Linked DNA regions of Tamandua tetradactyla. The protein of the gene in region 1 interacts with the protein of each later gene in a biochemical or structural test. Links are inferred from orthologs where the notes say so. Each region holds a gene or a part of one and is shown in the gene's direction. Other genes may lie near its edges.

What was found.
Region 2: of the proteins of XIAP (region 1) and HTRA3, one has a biochemical effect on the other in vitro, tested with the Homo sapiens proteins (3 studies listed by BioGRID and IntAct, with this or other methods). The link is inferred for Tamandua tetradactyla from reciprocal best matches to the Homo sapiens genes XIAP and HTRA3.
Region 3: of the proteins of XIAP (region 1) and TLE3, one has a biochemical effect on the other in vitro, tested with the Homo sapiens proteins (2 studies listed by BioGRID). The link is inferred for Tamandua tetradactyla from reciprocal best matches to the Homo sapiens genes XIAP and TLE3.

What each region holds. Positions count from the first base shown.
Region 1 is NC_135353.1:41,719,096-41,726,554, reverse strand, and holds the start of XIAP (E3 ubiquitin-protein ligase XIAP), read left to right. Parts: upstream 1-4,240; 5' UTR 4,241-4,406; intron 4,407-4,466; exon of another isoform or gene 4,467-4,692; 5' UTR 4,693-4,818; intron 4,819-4,956; exon of another isoform or gene 4,957-5,119; intron 5,120-5,167; exon of another isoform or gene 5,168-5,320; intron 5,321-7,459.
Region 2 is NC_135345.1:4,562,736-4,570,536, reverse strand, and holds the start of HTRA3 (serine protease HTRA3), read left to right. Parts: upstream 1-4,568; coding exon 4,569-4,953; intron 4,954-7,801. UniProt on the Homo sapiens protein: Serine protease that cleaves beta-casein/CSN2 as well as several extracellular matrix (ECM) proteoglycans such as decorin/DCN, biglycan/BGN and fibronectin/FN1.
Region 3 is NC_135338.1:72,482,781-72,490,003, forward strand, and holds the start of TLE3 (transducin-like enhancer protein 3), read left to right. Parts: upstream 1-3,990; 5' UTR 3,991-5,187; coding exon 5,188-5,211; intron 5,212-5,760; coding exon 5,761-5,861; intron 5,862-6,405; coding exon 6,406-6,469; intron 6,470-7,223. UniProt on the Homo sapiens protein: Transcriptional corepressor that binds to a number of transcription factors. Inhibits the transcriptional activation mediated by CTNNB1 and TCF family members in Wnt signaling.

The sequences.
Region 1 (7,459 bases):
CTGTGTTTTGAAATTTATAGCTTTTTTTGTATATAAGTTATTTTTCACAAAAAAGAAGGAAAAAAGTTGAATATGAGGATAAAAAAATATTTAAGCCCTCTAGCCTCCTATATTCTGGAGGAGCTAGAAGGAAAAATATGAGAGGATTGTATGGTAGCTCATTACAAACTCTGGGATCTCTCCTATAACCACTTGTTGAAAAGTGCTTTGAAAATTATTGCTTTTTTATTTCTTTGCTTTGTATACCTGTTATACTATACAAAGAAGATAGTGATCCCTCTGTTGTAAGCTCATTTATGACAAGACTGATGTCTAACTCATTTTTTAATTCCTCCAAGACCCTTCTAGTCATTTTTAATTCCTCCTTCTTATACCCCACATGCAATCCATCGCAAATCATGTCACCTCTATCTTCAAAATACATCCAGAATACCACCAATTCTCACCAACTCCACCACTACAACTGTAGTCCAACTCTCTCTTGGATGACTGTAATAGCCTATTCACTGGTCACCCAGCTTCCACCCACGGCCCTCTCCAGTCTACTCACACAGTAGCCAGAGCTATCCTAATAAAATGCAAGTCAGATCATTGTCATTTCTCTACTGAAATCCCTTCAATGGCTCCCCATTTCACTCAAAGTAAATGTCACAGATTTATAATGGTTTGCAAAACTGTGGTGGCCGGCCATCAAGATGACCCCTGATGATCTTTGCTTCTTGCTATTCACAACCTTGCATAGTTCCCTTCTATACTGAACCAGGGCTGAAAGTGTGACCAGTAGGATACGGTGGAAGTGATGGCATATAACTTACAAGTTTAGATAGTAAAAGGAATTGTGCCTTCTGCTTGCTCTCCTTTGGATTGCTTGCTCTGGAGGAAACTAGCCATCTTATCTTAAAAATACTACAAAAGCAGATAAGGAGGCTCCCAGGGAGAGAAACTAAATCCTCTCCCTCACTTCTCCCTACTATGGCCAGCACCAGCAAGCTAACCATGTGAATGAGCCACCTTCGGAAAAGGTCTTTCAGCCACATGTTTCAGATGACTGTAATTTCTTGTGACCAAGAGTCAGAATCACCCAGTTAAGCTACTCCTGAATCACTAAATTTTAGGACATTTTGTTACATGGCAGTGGATAACTAATACAGAGGCCCTGTACAATCTTGATCCCTTTTTACCTTTATGTCCTCATTTGCTACTCTCTTCCTTGTTCCTTTAGCTCTCCTGCCTTTGCATTCGCTGTTCACTCTGCCTGGAACACTTTCCCCAGATAGTGCTATGGTTTGTCCTTCACCTCCTCCATGTCTTTTCAGCTAAAATGTCAGTGTCTCAATAAGGCCTACCCCAACCACCATATTTAAAATTACAACTCCTTCTGTCAGTATTTCCAGTCTTCCTTCCACACTCTAATTTTTCTTTTCTCCATGACGTCTATCACTTTTAACATGAATATAATTTATTTAATTATTGTATTTATTTATTGTCTTTCTGTTCCCTCTACACCTGCTAGAATATAAACTCCAAGAAGACAGGGATCTTTGTTTTGCTCATTGACAAATTCTGAGTGATTAGAACAGTGTCTGGCACAGAGTAGGTGCTCAAATTTGCTGATTTTTTTTTAAAAAGAGTGAATACAAATTTCATGAACATGCCAGAGCCTCAGTAAATGCATGTTGGGTGAACTATTAATTTACAGATATGAACAGCAAAGACAGATATACCTGGGGTATTTTATGTGCAGAGATACTGTGCCAGTTTGAAAGGATTTATGTACCCCAGAAAAGCCATGTTTTAATCTTCGCCAATCTTGTGGAAGCAACAGTTTCTTCTAAATCCTATTCAGTACTATAGGTTGGAAACTTGTTTAGGTTATCTCCATGAAGATGTGGGTATTAAATCTGATTAGATGGAGACATGCTTCCACCCCTTCTACATTGGTCTTGATTAGGTTACTGGAATCCTTTAAAAGAGGAAGCATTTTGGAGAAAGCTTTAGAACGACATGGCCACAAGAAGCAGAGTCCACCAGCCAGCAAACTTTGGAGCTGAAGAAGGAAAACTTCTCCCACAGAGCTTCATGCAGCAAGAAGCCTCAAGAGAAAGCTAGCAGGCTGTCTACAGGTTGGCCACGTGCCTTCCCAATTGAAAGAGAAACACTGAACTCTTCGGCCTTTCTTGAGTGACAGTAACCTCTTGATAGTGCCTTGGTTTGGACATTTGTATAGACTTGCTTTAATTTGGAGATTTTCATGGCATTAGAACTATAGAACCTGTAGAACTGTAAACAAGTAGCTATACTGCATGAGAGAAAGCACTGTGCTTCATAACAAAGGCACAAATTCAAGCGCCAAGAGAGTTCAGAGGTGGAAGAGATAACCTTCAGCTAAGACACCTAGAGAAGGCTTTGCATAGGGGCAGTCTTTTCATCTAGGCAGAGGGATAAGTTTGAACAAATTAATGGAAGATAGGAAAGCAGGGGATGGGCTAGGAGACATTGAGTAGTTTTGTTTTATTGGAAGATAAGGAAGGTATTAGGTCCCAGAAAAAAAATTCTAAGAGCAAAAGGAATTCTTGACACAGAGCCCCTTCAGCCCCCCTCCTCAGCATCCTTGGAAGTCCAAGGATCCAGATATGAACCAATTACCATACTGGCTGGGATTGTATTCTACAGGCAAATGAAGACATTCCAGATAACTAGAAATACAGTCATAATCTGTTTCTGTTAATAACACCCTCCTCTACCAGCACCTCACCCTGCCCAATACATGCAGTTGTACATCAAAGGAGAATACCTTAGTAATCTATGATACCCTAAGTCAACAAGCCCCCATCCAATCAAGGGACCACACACCACCTAGTGGGCACCCTTCCCCTCTCCTGGCATCACTTTCCCTTTATAATACAGCTCCCAGAACAAAGAGGGCCAGCCATTTTTCTTTCCTTTCACTGGCTCCTGTCTACCTACTCTCTCTGCTTTCTCTCTCTTCAATAAATCTGTTAAGCCTCCACTGGCTGTCTGCTGTGGATTCCTTAATGACTCCGTGCCTAACAGTAGGGTGCCCAAGGGGAGAGTGAAAATGAGGCTGAGCAGTTTTAACATTATCCTGGAAGCAGAAGTATTGAAGAGTTTAGCTCAAAGGGCCTTTTGCAAGCCGAATTGGGGGGACCAGTCCAGGGACAGAGAAGTCAGGAGACTGGGTAACGGTTAGATACACCTGTAATCAGACAGATCTGGGTTTAAAATTGTTGGGCCAGTTCCCGTACATACTAGCAGTGTGACCTTCAGTATGTCACTTAATATCTTTAAACCTCAGTTTTCTTATCTGTACAATGGGGTAATGATAGTTATACTTCATTAGATTGCTGTGAGAATTAAATGAGATAAACATGTGCATGCAATTACTATTACTGCACTAAGTCAGATGTGAGACTACCAGGGCTGTGACAGTGGGAGAGGATCAGAAAGAATAATATCAACTGTAGCAAAAGCCCAAGAACCAAAAAGAAAATTATTTCTTCTCCTCCCTCCAAGTCTGCTTTTCATTGGAGACAGCATCATTTGAGGATGCTGGCGATACTTTTGATATTTTCCATGACATTAAATATCCTGGTTCAGAAATTATTATCTCAACACACTAGCCTGTTAGAGAGCCTGAGTTCTTGAAAGAAAAATTCAGATGTAGGTCTGACAATCCTACAGCATATTTGAAATAAATCCAGGGTATGATCAGCACATTATGTACTTACACTTCCTTTGTTTCCCCTCCTTCTGCTTCCTTCTGCTTTCTTATTCCCCTGTTCATTTTCCATTCACCTCCTAAATTATTTTCTTCTCTCTCTCTCTTAATGAATGTCTCCCTTTCTTATTCTTCTCATTCTTCCCTTCTTGGAAACAGAGCTTATCCTAATAGTAGCTCTCTCTTTTATTTACTGAGCGATATTGGGATAGTTTGCCTCTCTGGGTCTCAGTTTCTTCTGTAAAATGGATTTAGTAAGAGAGTGCCTACCTCATAGGTTTGTCAAAATGACAAGAACATATATATAGCACAGCATCTGGTCTATAGTAAGAATTAGACACGTTCTCTCCCTTCTCCGTATTCCTTGTCCATTACTTTATCTCTATTCGGCTACTCCTTAACCCTAGAGCCCGGCAGGTAAAAACCGTGGGAAATAAAACATCCTGTAGGCTAAAGCAGGAAACGCTTAAACTAGGGGGCGGGCACCGCGCGGTACCCACTGCGCATGTGCGCCAGGTTCGTCAGGCTCCCGTTCCCAGCTGGGGTCGGAGCCGAGACTGGGCGATATTTTTTTTCTGGCTGCTCTTACCACTCAGGGAAGTGTCGTGACCGTGTTGGCGCCCCGCGTGGGCGCGGCGCTAATCGAAGGTCACCTCAGCCCGAGTGTGTAAGTTGAAAAATGGCGGAGGGGGGAAGAAGGAGGGGCTTTACAGGGCGGGAGGCTGACCTTCCACGGGGGCGGGAGTTTTTGGGGTGCGGCGGGCAGGAAGGACTGGCTGCCGGGGCCCCGTCAGTGGGGCTCGGACCTTGAGACCGCTGGACCACGCCCAGTGTTTCTTTGATGCTCTGACGTGGACGCACTTTGGACTCTCCGACTCGGGTTCCTCCGGGGGATGGGCCGGTTGGTGGATGCGGTTGAGGGAGACGGAGAGACTTCCGTTTCCTTCTCCTAGGCCCAGGCCTGGCTGCAGAACAGAGTTGGCATTTCCATATTGGGACTGGTGGTGCCCCTCCTAGGGATCCTCCCCTCAGGACCTCCCTGGGTGCCGCAGGCGGTCGTGACTGGCGCTCCAGGCCGGGTGAGTACTGCCTTTGCGGGTTTCCCTCTCCACTAGCCTCCCCTCCTCCCCTCCCCCCTCCTCCCCACCCCCTTCCTCCCCTTCTCCCCTCCTGCCCACCCCCTTCCTCCCCTCCTCCCCTCCTCCCCTCCTGCTCACCTCCTTCCTCCCCTCCTCCCCTCCTCCCCACCTCCGACTGGGCCTTGCGGAGGAGGGCGGGAAGGCAGCGAACTTGACGGGGAGGGCGGGAAGGCGGGAAGGCAGCAGTCCAGGAACTGGCCAAAGGAAGGCGAACGTGTATAGCTTCAGGCCGGCGGCGCTGCCTCCCTGAACCCCGTGACTGCTAAAGAACTTTTTTTTATGATCAAAGGGATTTCCCGCAAGTCCCCCCACCTGATGCCTGTGGAATGTGTCTGGCCAGGGCGTGTGAAACAGAAATAATAGGGGCCAAAGAGCTTCCGGAAAAGAAAATTAGCTAGTAATTCTAATCATTGGTGCCCAAGTCACCGCTCCAGCATATTCTGTGAGTAAAACAAAATGTCAATTTAACTTCAGTTTCATTATTTTTTCTTAATAGTGCACGGAGCTTTTTTCTTTGGGGGATAGGGGTGGTGGTTATTGCTAAAAATAAGCAATGGTCCTCCCCACCTCCAAAAAAAAAAAAAAAAGAAAACAAACGTCAAATCTTTGTAAAAAAAACCTATCAGGTTTTAATAACCTACTACTTTGCTTTCAAATACAGTTATATCACTAGTTCTGTCACAACCACAGCTTGATAGTTAAGGACTCAGAGAAATTTACTTTTGTAACAGTAAACGTTGCTATACTGTTTCTTTCTCCTTCTTAATAACATTTGTTGAAATCAGTTCAAAAGAACACTGTTACAGACGGCCATCTTAGAATTATAGCATTTTAAAATTGGAAGGGATCTTAGCCCAGCTCTGTTACGTTTTTACAAAACCGGAATCTGAGGCGATTTCATGATTTACCCATTGGCTCTCCACGACTTAGATTAGAACTCAGGTTTCTGGCTCTTTGCCTATGGTTCTTTCTGTGCAACTTCCCCACATATCCTGCAGGCACGAAAATGAAATGTGTTCAATTCAGTACACATTTCTGAAGAGAATACTTCTTGTTGCCAGCGACTGCCTAGCTCTTAGCAGTTCTTCTTTCAAAACAGTCTCAAGCCTGTGCGTGTTTTTTTTCCCCATCATTCAAGAAGGGGCAACGGTTTAGTTTAAAAACATTTTATACACATACACAAACATGTATACATGTATTTGTTAGGATAATTTCTTGAAGGATACACAAACAAATGTTAACAATAGTTGCTACACGTCAAGGGTGGGAGGAGTGGAAGACTTGCATTGCACTTCCACTCCTAAATGGATGGCCTAATGTACTGTTTTGATTTCTTAACCTTTATCAAGTATTAATTTTATAATTAAAATCAAGTTTTAAAGTTCACACATACATAGGTTAATCAACATAAATAATACATTTCAATGGTACGTGTCTCTATATATGTATATTTATGTATATGTGTGTATCAGTGATTTGTGTTGTAAAATCCAATGTGGCTCATGTATCCCCAAACGGCAAGGCAGGCTTGATTATTATGCTCATGTTACTCCTTTGGTTTTCTCCTATTGCTCTTGATGTAAGATAGTAAAAGTAATTTGTTGCTAGACTTTACTTGGTTTTAGAAAATGTGATGTTTCTTGATCATCAAACAACATAACATTATCAGAAAATCAAATTAGAATATTTATAGATAAGAATCATTTAAAAATTACATTGGAAAGGTCCCTGGGAGTAGTTCAGCTCTCTTGTTTTAACAAATAAGTTAAGACCCAAAAATGAGAAAGTGAACTGCCCAAGGTTATATATCTGATTATTAGCAGAGCCTGGGCTGTAGTCTAGGTCCTAGTCCAGTGTCCTTTATAGTACACCTCTGATCTTATTGCTTTCTATTGCATTTGATGACTCCAACTAGGCTGACAAAGCAATGCTCAATAAAGGTCAGTTAGACCCATTTCAGTAGATAGGAATTGTAATTAATGTACTAGATAATTTGAATAGTACTTGAAATATTTTAGTAACATAAATGTTCCCCTTAAATTTGGTTGTACGCTTTAATTAATAAATCCTTTGTCTACATTGTAAATGCTTAAGACCACAAATGTAAAATGATGAGATTTTACTGTTTTTGTTTTGTCTAATATTTAAGTCTTCTAGCTAGTAGTAGCTCAGGGAAAAGCTTGGCTTACAAAATAAATACTGAACACCTATTGTGTGCCAGGTATTGTACTATGTGTTAGTGTTCTAAAGAAGAGTAAAACAAAATAGAAGAGTAAAGCAAAAAAAAGCCTGGTTCTTTTGAGGCGGGGAGATTATAAGGAACTGTCGATCCTAAAGTTTAATCTTATTTTATATAATCTGGGGTAACAGTATTATAAAATGTAAACTGTTACGTTGTTTGAGATCATTAAAGAGACAAAAGCAGTAGTGGTAAAATACAAAAAAATTTAGTATTGAATTGAAGAATTATCAGTTTTGTGTCTTAGAGGTCATGTGGTAGAGTGAAAAGAACCCTGTATTGGGTACAGTACAATCTGGGTTCTTGTCTTGGCTTTGTTTTCAGTTAGCTGTGAGATGAGAG
Region 2 (7,801 bases), on another chromosome or scaffold:
TGTCGTCAGAACATTCTTCAATGTCTTGTTTCTGACACTCCCTAGGAAATGCTTCTCTCCTCTAGACAGGGAGAGCAGTTAGGCTGCTTAAGAGTAGCAGGTTTTTATCACATGACTTCATGTTTCCCTCTTTGCCCTGGCTACCAGGAAGCTCAGAGCCAAATTTATGAGCATTCACTAAAAGAATAGCATCTCGTGACTATAATTTGTGTGTTGATATCACCTTTAGCTTGCTGTTATTTTCGTACCACTCCTTTTGCTTTACTCCAATTCTCTCCTTTTTATTTGAGATTTATGCACTTATTCCAAGTAATTAAGACACTGAAAATAAAGTTAAAATTTCCCAAGGCACACCCATGAATTCTTTAATGCTTACAAACAAAATAAAGAACAAAAACATCACATTATGGTGGAAATAGCTAGAAAAAGTGAGAGGTAGAATTGGAGGTGCATATGGGTTTGTAGAACAAAGAATAATGTCTGCTCCTAAGACTTCTTCCTCTTCAGATCAGAAATGGCTGCTGAATAATTTAACCCAAAATATTATTGGATCACAATACAATAAACAAAAGGCCATTTCAAAAATAAAAATGACCCCAAAATGTATATACATGTCTGGCATTGAGCCATGAATAATAAACCCTATCGATTTGTTGTCTTCTGCGTCTGAGTCTGCTAGCTTTTCTTGTGTGTTTATTGAGGTCATTTCCAAACAGGTTAGCGGTTAGAGGGCCAGCTCAAGCAAAGGGAGGTGTGGGGGGTGATATGCCACAGGGGTGTAAACACTACGCAAAGGAGCTATTCCCGCTGCATGTTAAGCAATGTTAAGGCAGGACCCATCCAAGCCGGATGCCTGAGAGATGAACAATTCTCCTTTCAGAGTTTTCCATTCCAGCAAGCTTTGTGGTGTTTCTCGCAGAAATCCATCAGCTACCCAGGAAACTGGGTGGGAATACAACATAGCAATTGGAGAAGTCAGCTCTGTCTCCCGCCTCCCCCACATTCTAGAAATCGGCAGAGTCAAAGCCAAAACACAATCAAAGCGCCCTGTGCGGTGAGCCAGATCGACATTTAATTTTAATGACATAGTAGGAGAAAATAAACTGGAAAAAAAAGGACAGAAAATACTTTTTGGCATATGCGTATAGAAGAAGCTATGCTGATTTGTCTGGTAGGAAAAGGAAAAAAGGAAAGGAGGTCAGTTCTTTAGCTTCCGTGAACACTTACTGAAAGATGCTGATTATATTTCTTGGTGTGGGTTCCATCTCCCTTTTTAATCGTGTGCTTGTGTGTGAAGAGACTTCAACATTTGGAGGAACAAGGGAACGTACATATATGAACGAATGCATGGCGAAAAAGCCAGTCTCCCAGCATATGCCAGCAAACTGACTGAGACGACATACAAAGGACCCCGTGTGATGCCTGGTGCAGGAGTGGGGTGGGGTAGGATGGCAGAACCCAAACCAGGAACCCAAACTGGATTCCCTAGACTTGGGACAGGCACTGCTTCACGTCTCCTGCAAGTCAGTAGTACAGGAGGAGCCTCCGCAATGCGGCAAGCGCCATTTTGGGGAGCCTGGTCCCCAAGGAGCGCCGCCCCCCCCCATCAAAGGCAGGGGCTGTGGTGCCTGGGGAGGGGCTGGGCAGTGGCCCTGGCAGGCTGGCCGGCCCTGCATGTACCCGGTGTGCCGAGGGCAGGGCACTACGCAGCGGGAGCAGCAGGGGGCGCTGGTTCCTCCGTCTCGCCTGCTGCACCTGAGCCCGCACACCTGGGAGCAGCCTCCTCTGCAAGAAGACAGCGCTCTGGGCCTCGGGCCAGCTGTGCTTGCGGCCTCGGCCGGCAGGACTGCCCATATCAGGGAGGACCACAGGGACGGGCTCCGGCTGCAGGGAAGCAGGAGCGGAGAAGGGTAACTGCACCCTGTGCTTTCACTCCGGGCCTCGGTTTCTTCACCTTTGTGGGTTGGTCATAAAGGTCAAACCAGGTGACCCTTGCAGTGGGGGTGGGGAGCCGCGTGTGGGGTTTGGAGGGGAGAGCACGGACACGGGCGGCAGACACCGCTGTCTGTGTCCCCACAGCCATGCGCCATGCCCCCTACCTTCCCGAACCTCGCCCTAAGGACAGTGCCCCTCTAGGGCTGCCACGGATAGTGAGTCAAATAAGGTACGCAAAGCGTCTGAGCAGCCTCCGTGCCCAAGAAGCAGCGGTCATTCTCACTTGCAAACTGTCGAGGGCTGCGCCAGTTCTGGATGGCAGCATCTGGCAGCCCTGGGACCTCCTATAAATGCAAGGTTGAGAAGAAATGGGCTCTTTGGCTCTCCAGGTCTCCAATTCGCCGTCCACGGCAGAAGCTGGGGACAGCAAAGCACTTCCCTCCAGGAGGAGGCATCCCAAAGAGCCTGCTTGCGTCACAGTGTCCCCCCTAGGGCACACTCGGGGTGGGGGGTGAGGATGGTCTGGGCGCAGGGACCACTCTCCTCTGCCACTCATGCTGGACCACTCTGTAGGAGATGCGAACGAGGGGCCAGCCCTGGGTTCCCTGCCCCCGGGAACATTCTAGATTTTCCAAGGAATGGCCTGAAATTCCTCCATGTCTTCAAAGCAAAATACACTTGAAGTTTCTGGAGGAGAAACTGTATGCCCTAATGCTCTCTGTCACAGGGCTTTGGGGAGGGAAAACCCCAGCCCTGTCATACCCCATCCACCTCTGAACACAGGACGAAGCTCAACTCCACTCTCAGGGCCTCTGCTTCCCTTGGCTCCCCCAAGGGCTCACACCGGGGCCCCACTTCCCCTCCCCTCTGTCCTGTGGCCTGAGCAATTTCAGCAGACACCCCCGTCTGACCAGCCCACTCCCCACATACCCAGGCAGCACCCAGGTTCTCCGGGCTCTTGGGGATCCAATCCGCCCTCCTCCCCATTCCCAGACCCCTCCCTCCTCCAGACCGGAGAATCCTGACCGGTCCTGAAAACGTGGATGAAAACAAGCCACATCTTTGTTTTCATGAACACCTCCAACTGAAAGCCAGCCTTTCCTTCCACGACCAAGTAGGCCAACCCCCAGGGGCAGCTCGGACGCTGTCACCAAGAAAAGGCACAGGATTTCTCAACCTCATTGATGGATCTCCAGATATCCCCGTGCTTGTCACAGCTTGGAAATCACAGCAATCATTACACCCTGGCCAGATATTTAATGCACTCCGGAGAAATTCATGTTTTACCCATTATCAAACAGCTTTCTTGTTTGATGCATGAGCAGGCACCAGGAATTGAACCCGGGGCTTCGGCACGGCAGGCGAGAACACTGCCTGCTGAGCCACTGTGGCCCACCCTTGATATATTTTAATAACTGTCTTGTCATACAATTGTTCCCCTTTGCAATCCTGCGCAGTTTATTTCATGCATTTGGAAACATCATTCTGAGATGGGGTCCAGGCTTCACCTGACCAGCCAAAGGGGCTCATGGCACAAAAGGGGTGAAAGCCCCACGCTACGTTCCAGCATACACCAGCCAGAGCCCTGCTCTGTGATGCGTCTGCACTGCGACTCGGTCCCTGGGGCTGTCCTCTCCCAACCCCATTGCTGCATTTCCCAATCCTAGAGCCCCTTGGAATTCAACTTCATGGGGGCTGCACTCCCTTCTCTGGCTCCTGAACTATCATCTCCATTATCCCACTGGGAGCCCCCTCAAGGTTGGGGGTAGGGCTGCGACCTGAAGGGGCATTGAGACCCACTTTGTTATTTTATTATCATATCATACCATATTAGAGCAGATAAAATGAGAGTCTTTGCAGGCTGACTGTGTGCCTGGTGTCAGGTGCTTACAGATATTTCTCCATTGGGTTCTTCCAAGGACAGGAGGCCCCGCGGCAGTTCCTCCGCCGAGGAGACGGCATCCAACAAGCCCCGAAGACGGAGAGGTGGGGTCAGGGCACAAGGGGCGGTTTTCAAGGTCTGACCCCAGTAGAGGTGGGGGGGCCAGGACCGTGAAGATAGGTTCTGCTGACAGGTATTGTGTAGGGCCCCTGAGCTCAGAGTTGGGTGATGCTGAGCAGAGCGAGGCGGTGGGGTGGGAGCAGGAATAGAGCTGTTTTGGGGTCTGGACTGTTCATTTCTACCGGGCAGTGGTGGGTTGGGGGTTGAGATCCAGGAGGTGGCGAGGCATCCCCCCGCGAAGCGCACGCCCCCGCGGCTCCCCCTCCCTGGGCTTCGCCGACCAGGCAGGCCAGAATCCCCGCCGCCCGGGTGGGTCCAGGCCCGGAAGGCCAAGGGCGGGGGCGTCTGGGGCCGGGGCGGGGCGGGCAGAGGGCCCGGCCACCCCTTCCAGGAGGGCGGGTCCTCCCCGCGCCCTAAAGACCGCCGGCGCGCGGCCCGCCGCCAGTCACCCGCGGGGAGCGGACGCCTCTGCCCGTGTCCACCCCGGGGATGCCCCCGCGCCCGGCCCGCGCCGCGCCCGCCTGAGCCCCCGCCCGCCCGGCTCATGCCGCCCCTTCCCGGGACCCTGCGCAGGCGCCTGGCGGCCCCCAACCTGTCCCGCGCGCTGCCTCCCGCCGCCCTCCCGTGCGCCATGCCGGCGCGGGTGCTGCTCTTGGCTGCGCTGGCCGCGCTGGCGCTGGCCCGGGAGCCCTCGGTGACATCGTGCCCGGCGCGCTGCGACGTCTCCCGGTGCCCGAGTCCCCGCTGCCCCGGCGGCTACGTACCCGACCTCTGCAACTGCTGCCTGGTGTGCGCCGCCAGCGAGGGCGAGCCCTGCGGCCGCCCGCTCGACTCGCCGTGCGGGGACAGCCTGGAGTGCACGCGCGGAGTGTGCCGCTGCCGCTGGGCACACGCCGTGTGCGGCACCGACGGGCACACCTATGCCAACGTGTGCGCGCTGCAGGCGGCCAGCCGCCGCGCGCTGCAGCTCTCGGGGACGCCGGTGCGCCAGCTGCAGAAGGGCGCCTGCCCGTCGGGTAAGCGCTCGGGCTGGGCGGGGGGCACCGCGCCTACCCCCGGGGTGAAGGGAAAGCCTGCTACCCGGAAGCCGTGGCCCAGGGAAAGCGCCTGGAGGTCCTGGGCACAGCTGAAAGACGCTGCAAAAGTCCTCTAGCCAGCCCTCTGCGATCGTCCAGGTGGGGAAACTGAGGCCAGGAAAGGCCCACTGCTATCCTCAAGGTCCCAGGATCTGTCAGGGAGGAGAGTGAAGCCCAGGGCCCTGTGCCCTGTCCGCCTGGGCCTTGTCTGGCTCTGTCCTCCTCCAGCCCCACCAGAACTCACCTGTCCCGAGTGCCATTCCCCGGGTCCTCACACCCCTGCTCTATCAGAGGGGCTGGGTCAGAAGCCCTTTCCTGACAGTCTCCAGTGGTCCTGCCCACTGGGGCGATACCCAGTGGTAACTTTCTTTATTTTCTAATGCAGTTGAAAGGCACATCTCCAAGGGGCTCTTTGGGAATTGTGAGCCAGTGGGGTTCCTGGACAGCTTGGGGCCCCATGGGGTGGCACCCTTGGGGGAAGGGACTTTCTCAGTCCCTCAAAACCCGGGACCAGCCTCCCCTGGCCCCGAGTTGGCTCTGGGTGGCAACTTGCCCCACAGCTTGTCCCTGTGAATGGAGGAAATGCTAGAAAACCTTGCCACCCCGTTCCCTGCCCAGGTACCTCTAAGGAAGGCAGGTTCCGCTGCCCGCTCCACAGGTACTGGCCAGAGCCCTGTGCTGGGCTGGTGGCTGGGCTGGTCCCGGGCTCGTGGGATTGAGAGATGCTGCGATGCCCATCTCGGTGCTCTAGGAACACAGTGGGAGAGCACCAAGGGCCTGGGAAGCCTTCGGTGGGGCTGGGAAGAGGGGCACATTTAAGCTGAAACTTAAAGAATGAGGACACGTTTTGTAGGTAGGGCTGTGAAAGACATTCCAGGAAGAGGGAGCAGCGCGAGCAGACACCTGTAGGCTCAGCCATGCGCTGGGATGCATTTTGAAAATCAGCCCAGAGCCGCTGGCATCTGGGGTGCTGCAGGGACGGTGGGGGGGGGCACTCCGGGCTGGGCAGGTCAGCATGGGGCAGATGACAAGTTGCCACATGCATCGCGCTAAAGAGATTGAACTTTATCCTGTCAGGCAGAGCTTCTCCAAATGTGCCAGCCTTTGGAAAATAAAGGTCCTGTGGTTCAAAGCAGTGGGGAGCCTCTAGGGACAAGTCGCACAATGCTTGACTAGATCCAGGGTTCTGAGAAAAGCCTTCGGTAAGAAAGACAAGAAACAAAACCATGAAACTCAGGGTTTCCCAACTTCTAAAGATTATTTTCTGGCAGAACATACATAGCCTCCTCGCAGCACCGGGGTTCCAGGGAGCCCATTTGGAAAGCACCACAGATTCTAGGGGTCTGCTGCGGCAGGGCTTCAGGGGGCTGGGGTGATCGGTCAGACTCGTGTTCAGACCGCAGGGACAGGGCAGCGTCTCCCGATGGCAGGAGAAGGGTGTGGCGATTCCATACCTGTCCCTGCATCCCCCCCACCCCCGCAGGGGGCCTTCCTGGGATGGCCTCGGGCCAGTGGGCCCATCTAGGACCTTGACGGTGTGTCAGGACAGGCCTGGCGCCTGCCCGCTGCGGCCTAGTTGTACAGGGGGCTGTCCCTTCCCCAGCCCGGCCTCCCCCACGTGGTGGACACTGTTAGAGTAAAGCCTGGGCTGGGGCCAGGGAAGGGGGAGGGGGTGGAAGGAACTGGAAACACCGACATGGAGGTTGCGTCTCTCTGGGCTCTGGGCGGTGAGGTCACGGCCCTGGAGCAGACCCCGTCTGGGCCCGGGTGGCCCTCCAAAAAGGCCGGAGAGGAGGAGAAGAGGGCGAGGATCCTGAAGGCCCAGACAGGGGCAGGGGTCACTCAGAAAAGGCAGGAGGTGTCCAGGGGCATCGCGACCATGGGCCAGGGCCCCAGACCTGATCATGACCTCAGACAGGCCCCTTTGTTAGCCTCAGTTTCCTCATCTGTAAAATGGGGACACAACAGCCCCCACTGCTGAGGGCCGTTGCAGGTTTTAATTAGCCAGAAAGCACGTTCCCAGCACCTACGTAGCCACTGGACTCCTTTTTTATTCCAGCCACTGGTGTCATTATTATTTGCCACTGGCATTTCTGTCCTGTCTGGCAAGGGTGGGGGGTTTTCCGGAAGGGGGGCTTCTGTGCTGAGCTGTGAGCTCCCGGGCAGAGCACGGGAAGGGCCTTCAGGGCACAGGGAGGGACCCGGGAGCTGCAGAGGTGAGTGGACCAGCCTGGTGGGACGGGAGCCTGCAGGCCCCTCACCGCAGCCAGAAGGGCAGGTGCAGGGGAGAGGGGGGTGTGGGGTCTGGAAACAGGGGAGAAGTCCTGGGTGCAGGAGGGAGGATTAGTGGCCCTGCACGAGCCCAGGCTCTCCCTGGATCCCCCATGACCTCGAAGCTGACACCAACCCCCTGGCCTGCCCTGGCCCCGGCTCCTCGGAGCTGCTGCCCAAGTCCAGGGACTGCGGGTCATGCTGTGGCCGAGCCTCAGCCCTGCCAGGGCATCCTGGGCTTCTGTGATCATTGTCCCCACCCCCACCTCTTAGATCACAGAGACCTCGACGCCCTGGTTGTGGCAGGGGCCCAAACAAGGGATCCAAGCAAAATCCAGGCCTCATGGAGCCCTTGCTGTGCCGTGTCTGGCTGGCGTCACCTCTGTAAGCCTGCACCCTGCTGACACCTGGAGGTGTTCGCCAGGGCACGGGAAGGGCCAGCAGTGGGCTCAGGACATGGCCAGGAGCTGTCTGCCCATCCACCCACTCGCAGGCCCCAGGCCACCTTCGGGTCTGG
Region 3 (7,223 bases), on another chromosome or scaffold:
GAGTCAGACACCTTTAATTTCTGAGAAACCGTATATTTCTGTCTGAAGCGCTCAACAATTATTTTTACAGAACCAGAAAAGCAGTTCTTTCGGGCTGGCAGACAGCTGCCCACCAATAACCCTGCAATCCAAATTGAGGAGGAGGACCCTCCGCTCCGGAAATCCAGGCCAGGCTTTGTGTCTCACTCGGGTGACTTTTTTTTTTTAATGTGCCAGGAATTCCTCTCCCACGTGGGGTGGACTCCGAGGTACTCAATTAAGCAGCCAATGAAAAGTCAGCTCTTCGGTAGCAAATGACCCTGACACTTCTTGTAACATAAACAGTTGAAACGTTTCCAATTAGAACTGGAGACAGAGACGTTTGAACTCTTTCTCTCTACTCCCCCCCACCTTTAAAAATAATTGTCAAGCGCTTTGGACAGGGTTTTGTATACATGCTTTTAATTTTCTTTTTCTCGAACATAAAATAAATTTCTTTTTCCTCCTTCTTTTTCTTGATTTGTGGGGTGGCCTGGGTTTGAGAAGCAGAGTCATGGAGAGCCAAAAGGGGTGCTGGCCTGCTTACTAACTTCCCGCCTTCCTTCCCGCTCAGGGTTCAGGCAGCCCCGGGGTGACGTGGGGTGCAGAGAGAGTGGGAGCCAGAGTCGGCCGACCCGGGCCTGTAAAAAGCCTCCGAAAGGGCTGGCAATGAATGAATGTATGTATGTATGAGTGAATGAATGAATGAATGCCTTACCTTCAGAATATGATCCCAGGGAACCAGCTCGCGCAAGCACAGAGGGTGCAAAGCTTGGCTGTCGAGCCGGCTGCCCTGGATTCAAATCCTAACCTGTCCAGCTTGGGGCAAATTACTGAGCTTTCTCATGGTCTCTTTCTTACTCCATGAAATAATGGCCACCAGCCTGGCCGCTTCCCTCGTGAGTGAAGTGAAGATAAAGAGAATAGCAGTGCCTGCCTTCCTTGCTTTGTACCTAGTAAGCGCTTGAACGCTGTTCATTATCTCTTCGGGCTCGGTGGCGTAATCCTCCAGGCTGGCCCGAGAAGGCGGCGCTCTGCAAAAACACGTCCATTACGCAGTTGTCAAACAGTCCCAGGCCCCTCCCCTGTGCCAGGCCTGGCGCTGACGCTGGGTCTCACAGGTGACCTCGACGTGGTTCTGCCCTGTGGAGTGACCCGGCTCGTGGCGTCGTAGGAGAGACACTAATGTCCCCAGAAGCGCGGAGAGATTCAGACTCGGGAATAGCTGCTGTGCTTTTCTGCCCACTGTCTGCGTAGACCCGGTCTGGGGACCCGGAGGCTCCTTGCTGCCTGCGGGCGGGCGCCGCGGGAGCCTATTTGGAGGGAGGCAGTGAGAGGGAGGCCGGACGAGGCGCCGCGTCCCTGGCATCTTGAAGGCATTGTGTTTAATAAATCCGGGCGACACGCACAATGACTCTCTCCCCCATCTCCTCTCGGCTCCCAAATCGAGACCTGCTGTGGACCCCCGGTTTACAGGGTCTTAAAAATCCTTCCACTTTGATTAACAGCTTCAAAGAGCTCCCTTTAAAGTCTAACCCCTCCACGCCCCCCACTTCAGGCCACCCCTCCTCCATTACTCCTTCTAGATTACTGGACGACAACAAAACATTAAATGCAAATTTAAAGGGGGAAAAAACCTTCAGGCTTCCTCCTGAACGTGGGCCGTAGAAATTACCTGTTTCGGGCTTGCATAGAAGTCGGAGGATCATGGAGTAGGGTTTTGGTTTTTTTTTTTTTTCCTTTCATTTCTTCTGTCTTTACTTTTTTTTTTTTTTTGGTTTGTGTGTGTGTTTTTACCTTTTATTATTTAAATTGATACGTTTCATTACTAGGGAGAAAAATAAAATATTCCTTTGATACACAAAATCAAATTGATATTTAGCCTCTGCTTACTTTTTTATGCATGGCTCCTTTATACCACATGGTAGTGACAGATTGTTTGAGCTGGAAGGAAAAGCCATTCAAAGCTAATTAAGCAGCCATTCCAAGCACTATTTGCAAGCGGGAGGCTCAGAAGCCTCGGCATTTGTCAGCGCTCCCCCACCCCGCGTGGTTTTGACTGACAGCTCTGGCCGTAGACTGACAGCTCCCGATAGCTTCGCCAATCAGTGGCGTAGAAGGGCCTCAGCGGCCTTTGATTGGTCGTCCATGCTTTGCTCGGAGGCGGGGTCAGCGGTCACCACGTGGGGACAGGAGCGAGAAAGGGGCGGGGCGGGCAGGAAGCGGGTGCGCCCACCCGTGACGTAAGGGGGAGGGCAGAGAAGGGGGAGGGGAAAAGGAAGCGCCAAAGAGGAGCCATTTTGTGTCTAATGAATGCTGCGGCCAGATGCTCGCATCTGTCGAGCCGGGCTTTTCTCTACCCACCCCCCACCTCCTCGATGCGCGCCGCACACGTTTTATGTTTTTATTTAGGAGAATAAATAAATGAATAGAGGAGCGCAGCTCGGGGCTGACGGCCGGAGCGGGCGCGGGGAGGTTCAACTCTTAGGCGAGTGCTCATGTGTAACTCCCTGCGCACCGGCCTCCCAGCGCTCGCTTGCTCTCAGCTCCTCATTAAGATGCAAAGGCGAACCTCCCGCTCCTAATGAGGGGGAAGTATAGATCCGGGGGCGCGCTGCCGGCTCGCGCGCGCCCAGGGCCGCCTCCAAGGCGCGGGACCCAAAGTCCGCGCCGCTCGCGCCTGCCGCTGGCCCGGGGGTCCCGGCGGGTTCGCCGAGATGCTGGCTAGTGCCCGCGGGGTTCTCGGGAGGGACCGCTTCCCCCTCGGCTGTCCGGCCTGACGTAACTCCGCGCGCAGTTGATAAAGGCTCTGAGTTTTCCAGCAGACTGGCTCCCGGAGTCGAGGGGCCTGTCGGACAGCTCAGGGAGTCCCAGAGGCGCGGCGGAAGGGATGGGTCAGGGGCGCGCGACCGGTCGGGCGAGCGTATGCGCCCCCCGGGGCGTCGTGGCTGGCCTCGGAGACGCCCACGAGCTCGCACACACGTTCTTCCACAAGCTTCCGCCGGCGCTGTAATACTGACGCGGGCAGACCGAGTAAAGCGGGTTGGAACTCGGAGCTCCTAGGTCAGGGCGGTGCAGGGCCCCGCTCCAATCCCCAACTCTGCTCCCCGGACCCCGCACGCAGCGCGGAGCGGTCCCGACAAGGCTGTGGTAACTGTCCCCACGGAGGCCCGCCCTTCGCCGGGGTAGACATCCCCTCGTGGGGACAGTTGGCAAGCTGAGCAGATTGTCCGCGGGCAGCCAGGCCCTACCTTCTGCGCTACTGGCCAAGCAAGAGTTCCTCAGACTTCTCGCGGCTAGCCGCCGCACATCAAAGACGGTGTTTATTTGGCTTTCTGAAAAGAAAGGCGAAGAACAGAGAAAAGAAGCAGAGCGGAGTGGGGGTAGGGGACCGTGGGGGTAACGGAAGGAGTTATAAAGGGACACCCTCAGTTTCTAGCAAATCTTTAGGGGTGTGGGGGTGTGTGGGGCGAGGCAACTTTGGGAGCCACCATTTTATCGGTCCTAAATCTTGTGAAGTGAAAACATTAAAGTGACGAAGTGATTCTGTTTGTTTTATAGTATCTAATTGTGCTGCTTTGCAGACCTAATGAGATTAGAGGGAGGAATCGTTTACCGCCACTGCAGAATAAACTGATACATTACCACCCAGCCACAGGTTTTTAGAATTATACAGCTTGTCTTTTTTTTCTTTTGTTGTTATTTCTGTCTTCTCTCTTTCCCCCTCCCGCTAAGTAATTGTTAGTAGATCGTGGGAAAAAAAAAAGAGGACGAACAAAAATTCTAGCAGCCCAGGACTATAATATATATCTATTTATTATATGTCTTTCGGTTAATTCCTGATCTGAGGAGCGCTGTTTTTCACTCCCATGCGAAAGTCACCAGCGGGTAGGGCCTGATTGCTACTTTTCATGCATAGTTTTAGACACAAGAGGGCATTGTGACGTTGCGCCCGGCGGCGCCCAGTCGTAGGCCGGGTCGGGCAGCCCCACGTGGGGGTTCCGCGCTCCCATTGGCTAGCACCGGGCGAAGCTGCCACATTATTTTGTTACTTTTCAGTCCCTATTTGGAACTGCTCTCGCGGCAGTTCAGACCTCGTGCTCGTCCCCCTCGCCTGTCTGTGTGTGGTATCCGCAAGGTCCGGGCCACTTTTTTTTTTTTTTTGGTGTGTGTATGTTGGGTGTGTGTGTCAGGGTGTATGTGTGGGGGTTTGTCGGGGCGCGGAGAGGAGAGTCGAGCCGAGGAAGGAAGCCGCACAGCTCCTGGGTCTAGGGCTGCGTCTCCCCTCCAGCGCTCTCCAGCCTGCACACCCCGAAGCGGCCGCAGCGCCGAGCGCTCTTCGCTAGGAACTCGGCGTTCGAGCTGGGAGCAACGAGGACCCGTTTGCGGAGGCTTCTCTGCCCGCGGGAGTTAGGATGCCGGAGCAGTTGATTTGCACCTATTGAGCCCGGAGTTTCCTCCTTGGCCCTGGGAAGGGCTTGCAAGCGGCGGCGGCGGCGGCGGCAGGAGCAGACGGAACAACAGGCTCTCCTCTCCGTGGTGGTGGTGGGGGGGGGGCGTCGAAGCGCCCGCGCGGGGCTCCCGCCCTCACCCTCTGGCGCTCTCGCGGTCCCAAGCCGCCACCTCGGTGCCTGTCTCCTTCCTCTTCCTCGTCGCCGCGAGCCCCGGGCGCTGTCGCCTCTGGGATCGGACCCTCGCTCCCTGGATGCTGGGGCTGCCCCGGCGCGCCCCCCTCCTGGCGCCACGGGCTAACTGATCCGAAGGGGACTAGCGCTCGCCCCAGGAGGCAACCCCGGCCTTGGGACCCCGTGCCAGAACCTCTGGGGAGAAGACGATGTCCGCGAAGCCCCCGGCTCTGACGCGCTCGACGCAGCCGGGGGAAGGCGGCCGGCCGCAGCCCGCCGAGCCCTAGGCGCACAAAGCCCGCGCCCGCCCGCCCGGCCTCGGCGCCCGCAGACGACTTTGCCGCCTGCTCCGCAGCTCTTTGTCTCCACTTGGGGTGGGCGCCCGACTCTGGGATATCGCTGCGAGAGCGGGCTGGGGGGGCCGGGGGCGAGTTCTCGGTTTCCCGGCCGCCCCCCGCTCGGGCTCGGCTCCCCCCTCCCCCGCAGCTCCCCGGCCCGGGCTTTCGGCGCTTCCACGCTCTTGGAATCACGACCCCTCCCTGCCATGTATCCGCAAGGCAGACATCCGGTGAGTAATTGCAACTCGGTGTATTTAAGCATCTATCACGGCGGGGTAAACGAGGCAGTTTATCTGGCACCTCCATTTTGCTCGTTGCTACCTTTATGGTGTGTGTTTGTGTGTATGTATGTGTTCTCACACAAAGGGGATGGGGGGCGCCGTTGAGAGAAGAGGTTAATTCCGCCCGAGTGGCGTAGGGAGCTCCCTGTGTTAGAAGGGGAACTGTTTTTGCACTCCCCTCCCCCGCCCCCTTTCCTAAGTCTCCCAACTCGTACGTTCCCCGCCCCCCTCTTTCTTGGAATTGGGAGCCCCGTAGTGAAAAGGGTAGGAGCCCCGCGGCTGAGAAGGACTAGACCACAACCCTGTTGTGGGACTGAGTGACTTGGGGGAAGGTTTGGGGTTGCGAGGGGGCTTCTCTAATTATGAGCCGGCGCGGGTGGGGGTGGGGATGGGGGGGTGGGGAGGGAGGCGGAGGGAAGCCGCGGAGGGGCCTGGGCAGCTTTGAGCCCCGTCTGATGGCCCCGCCCCCCTCCCCTGTCTTGCCCTCCCGGGCTCCAGGCTCCCCATCAACCCGGGCAGCCGGGATTTAAATTCACGGTGGCCGAGTCCTGTGACAGAATCAAAGACGAATTCCAGTTCCTGCAAGCTCAGTATCACAGGTAAGGCTGGTGGGGACCGACCCCGGGACTGCCGGGGAGTGGGTCCGTGGCTCCAGGCGCAGCTCCGTCCGGGACCGAGGGTCTCCCGACCCCCGGGCGGAGGGGCAGCCCGGCCTCCGCCTTTTGTTTTCCCTTTCGGAGCGCGGGGCCTTAACCCTTGGCAGCCCCGCAGCCTCCCGCTCCCAGCGCCGCCCGCCCGGGCTCCCCGGGGTCGGGGTCGGGGTGGCGGACGGGCTGGGCCCGGGTCCCGGAGGTGGCGGGCTACAGCGTCCGGGTTCTGCCGCCGCCCCACCCCCACCCCTGCAAGCCTACTAATTCCACTCCCAGGGCTTGGGAAGTTTCAAGTTGTTTCATTCCCCCTAACCCCTCCCCGTGGCAGGAACCCAAATCCCCCTCCCCCGGAGGCTGCGGGATAATGGGGTAACCTCGGGGGGGGGAGGGTGGTCAGGGAAGTGGAAAAGAGGCCCTCTGAGGCCCTTGGGTTGGTGCCTCCGAGGAGGCTGTGCAGGCGCCAGGCCTGAGCCGGCTCCTTCTGCCCTCGCAGCCTCAAAGTGGAGTACGACAAGCTTGCCAACGAGAAGACAGAGATGCAGCGCCATTATGTGATGGTGAGAGGCGGCCTGGGGCCTGGGAGGGACCTGAGGAGACTCTCAAGGGAGCGTCCGGGAACCGGGTGTAATCCGAGTGCCCTCGGTGCCTGCACCGGCTTTCCTTAGCCCAGGCGGCTTGAGCTGGAGGCAGAAAAAGAAACCCGAATTCCAGCCCGGGGACTTCAGCGCTACCTTTGTGCTGTTTTCATTTGTGTTTCAAAGGCTCTCCAGAGGGCCTGTTGCCCTGTCTTGGCTAATGATAAGATAGGATTGGGTCAGCCTATCCTAGCCTCGATAAAAATCTCTTAGAGACCTCCTGGAGGTGTTAGGAAACTTCTGCCTTGCAGCCCTGGGATTTAGCCAGAGTCGGACCAGAAGCCATCTCTGCCCACCCCTTTCCTTCCCCAAAGATTTTCTGAGGAATGGAGGAGGCTTTGAAGACCTCTTTCCTGCTCTCTCTTTTTCAGGGGATCTCCCCCCCCCCCCTCCCCCGGCTGAGAATCCTTTCAGCCCTGGAGCAGTAGGTGGACTATCTCTCCTCTTTTTCCCAGCGTCAATTGCAGCTAGTTTAAATCTACAGTTTGTGAGAGGACACGGAAGGCACTTAAGAGCCGCTCCCTGCACTGCTTTCCACAGAAGAGGCCTTCGACACAGTGCTAAATAACTCTCAGGACAAGAGGGTTCCACTGTGCATACTAGCCCCTGTGAACGGAAGCTTGAATAAACAGGATATATGGCACATGCGGTGCCTGTTGGAGGGAGGGTCAGAGCT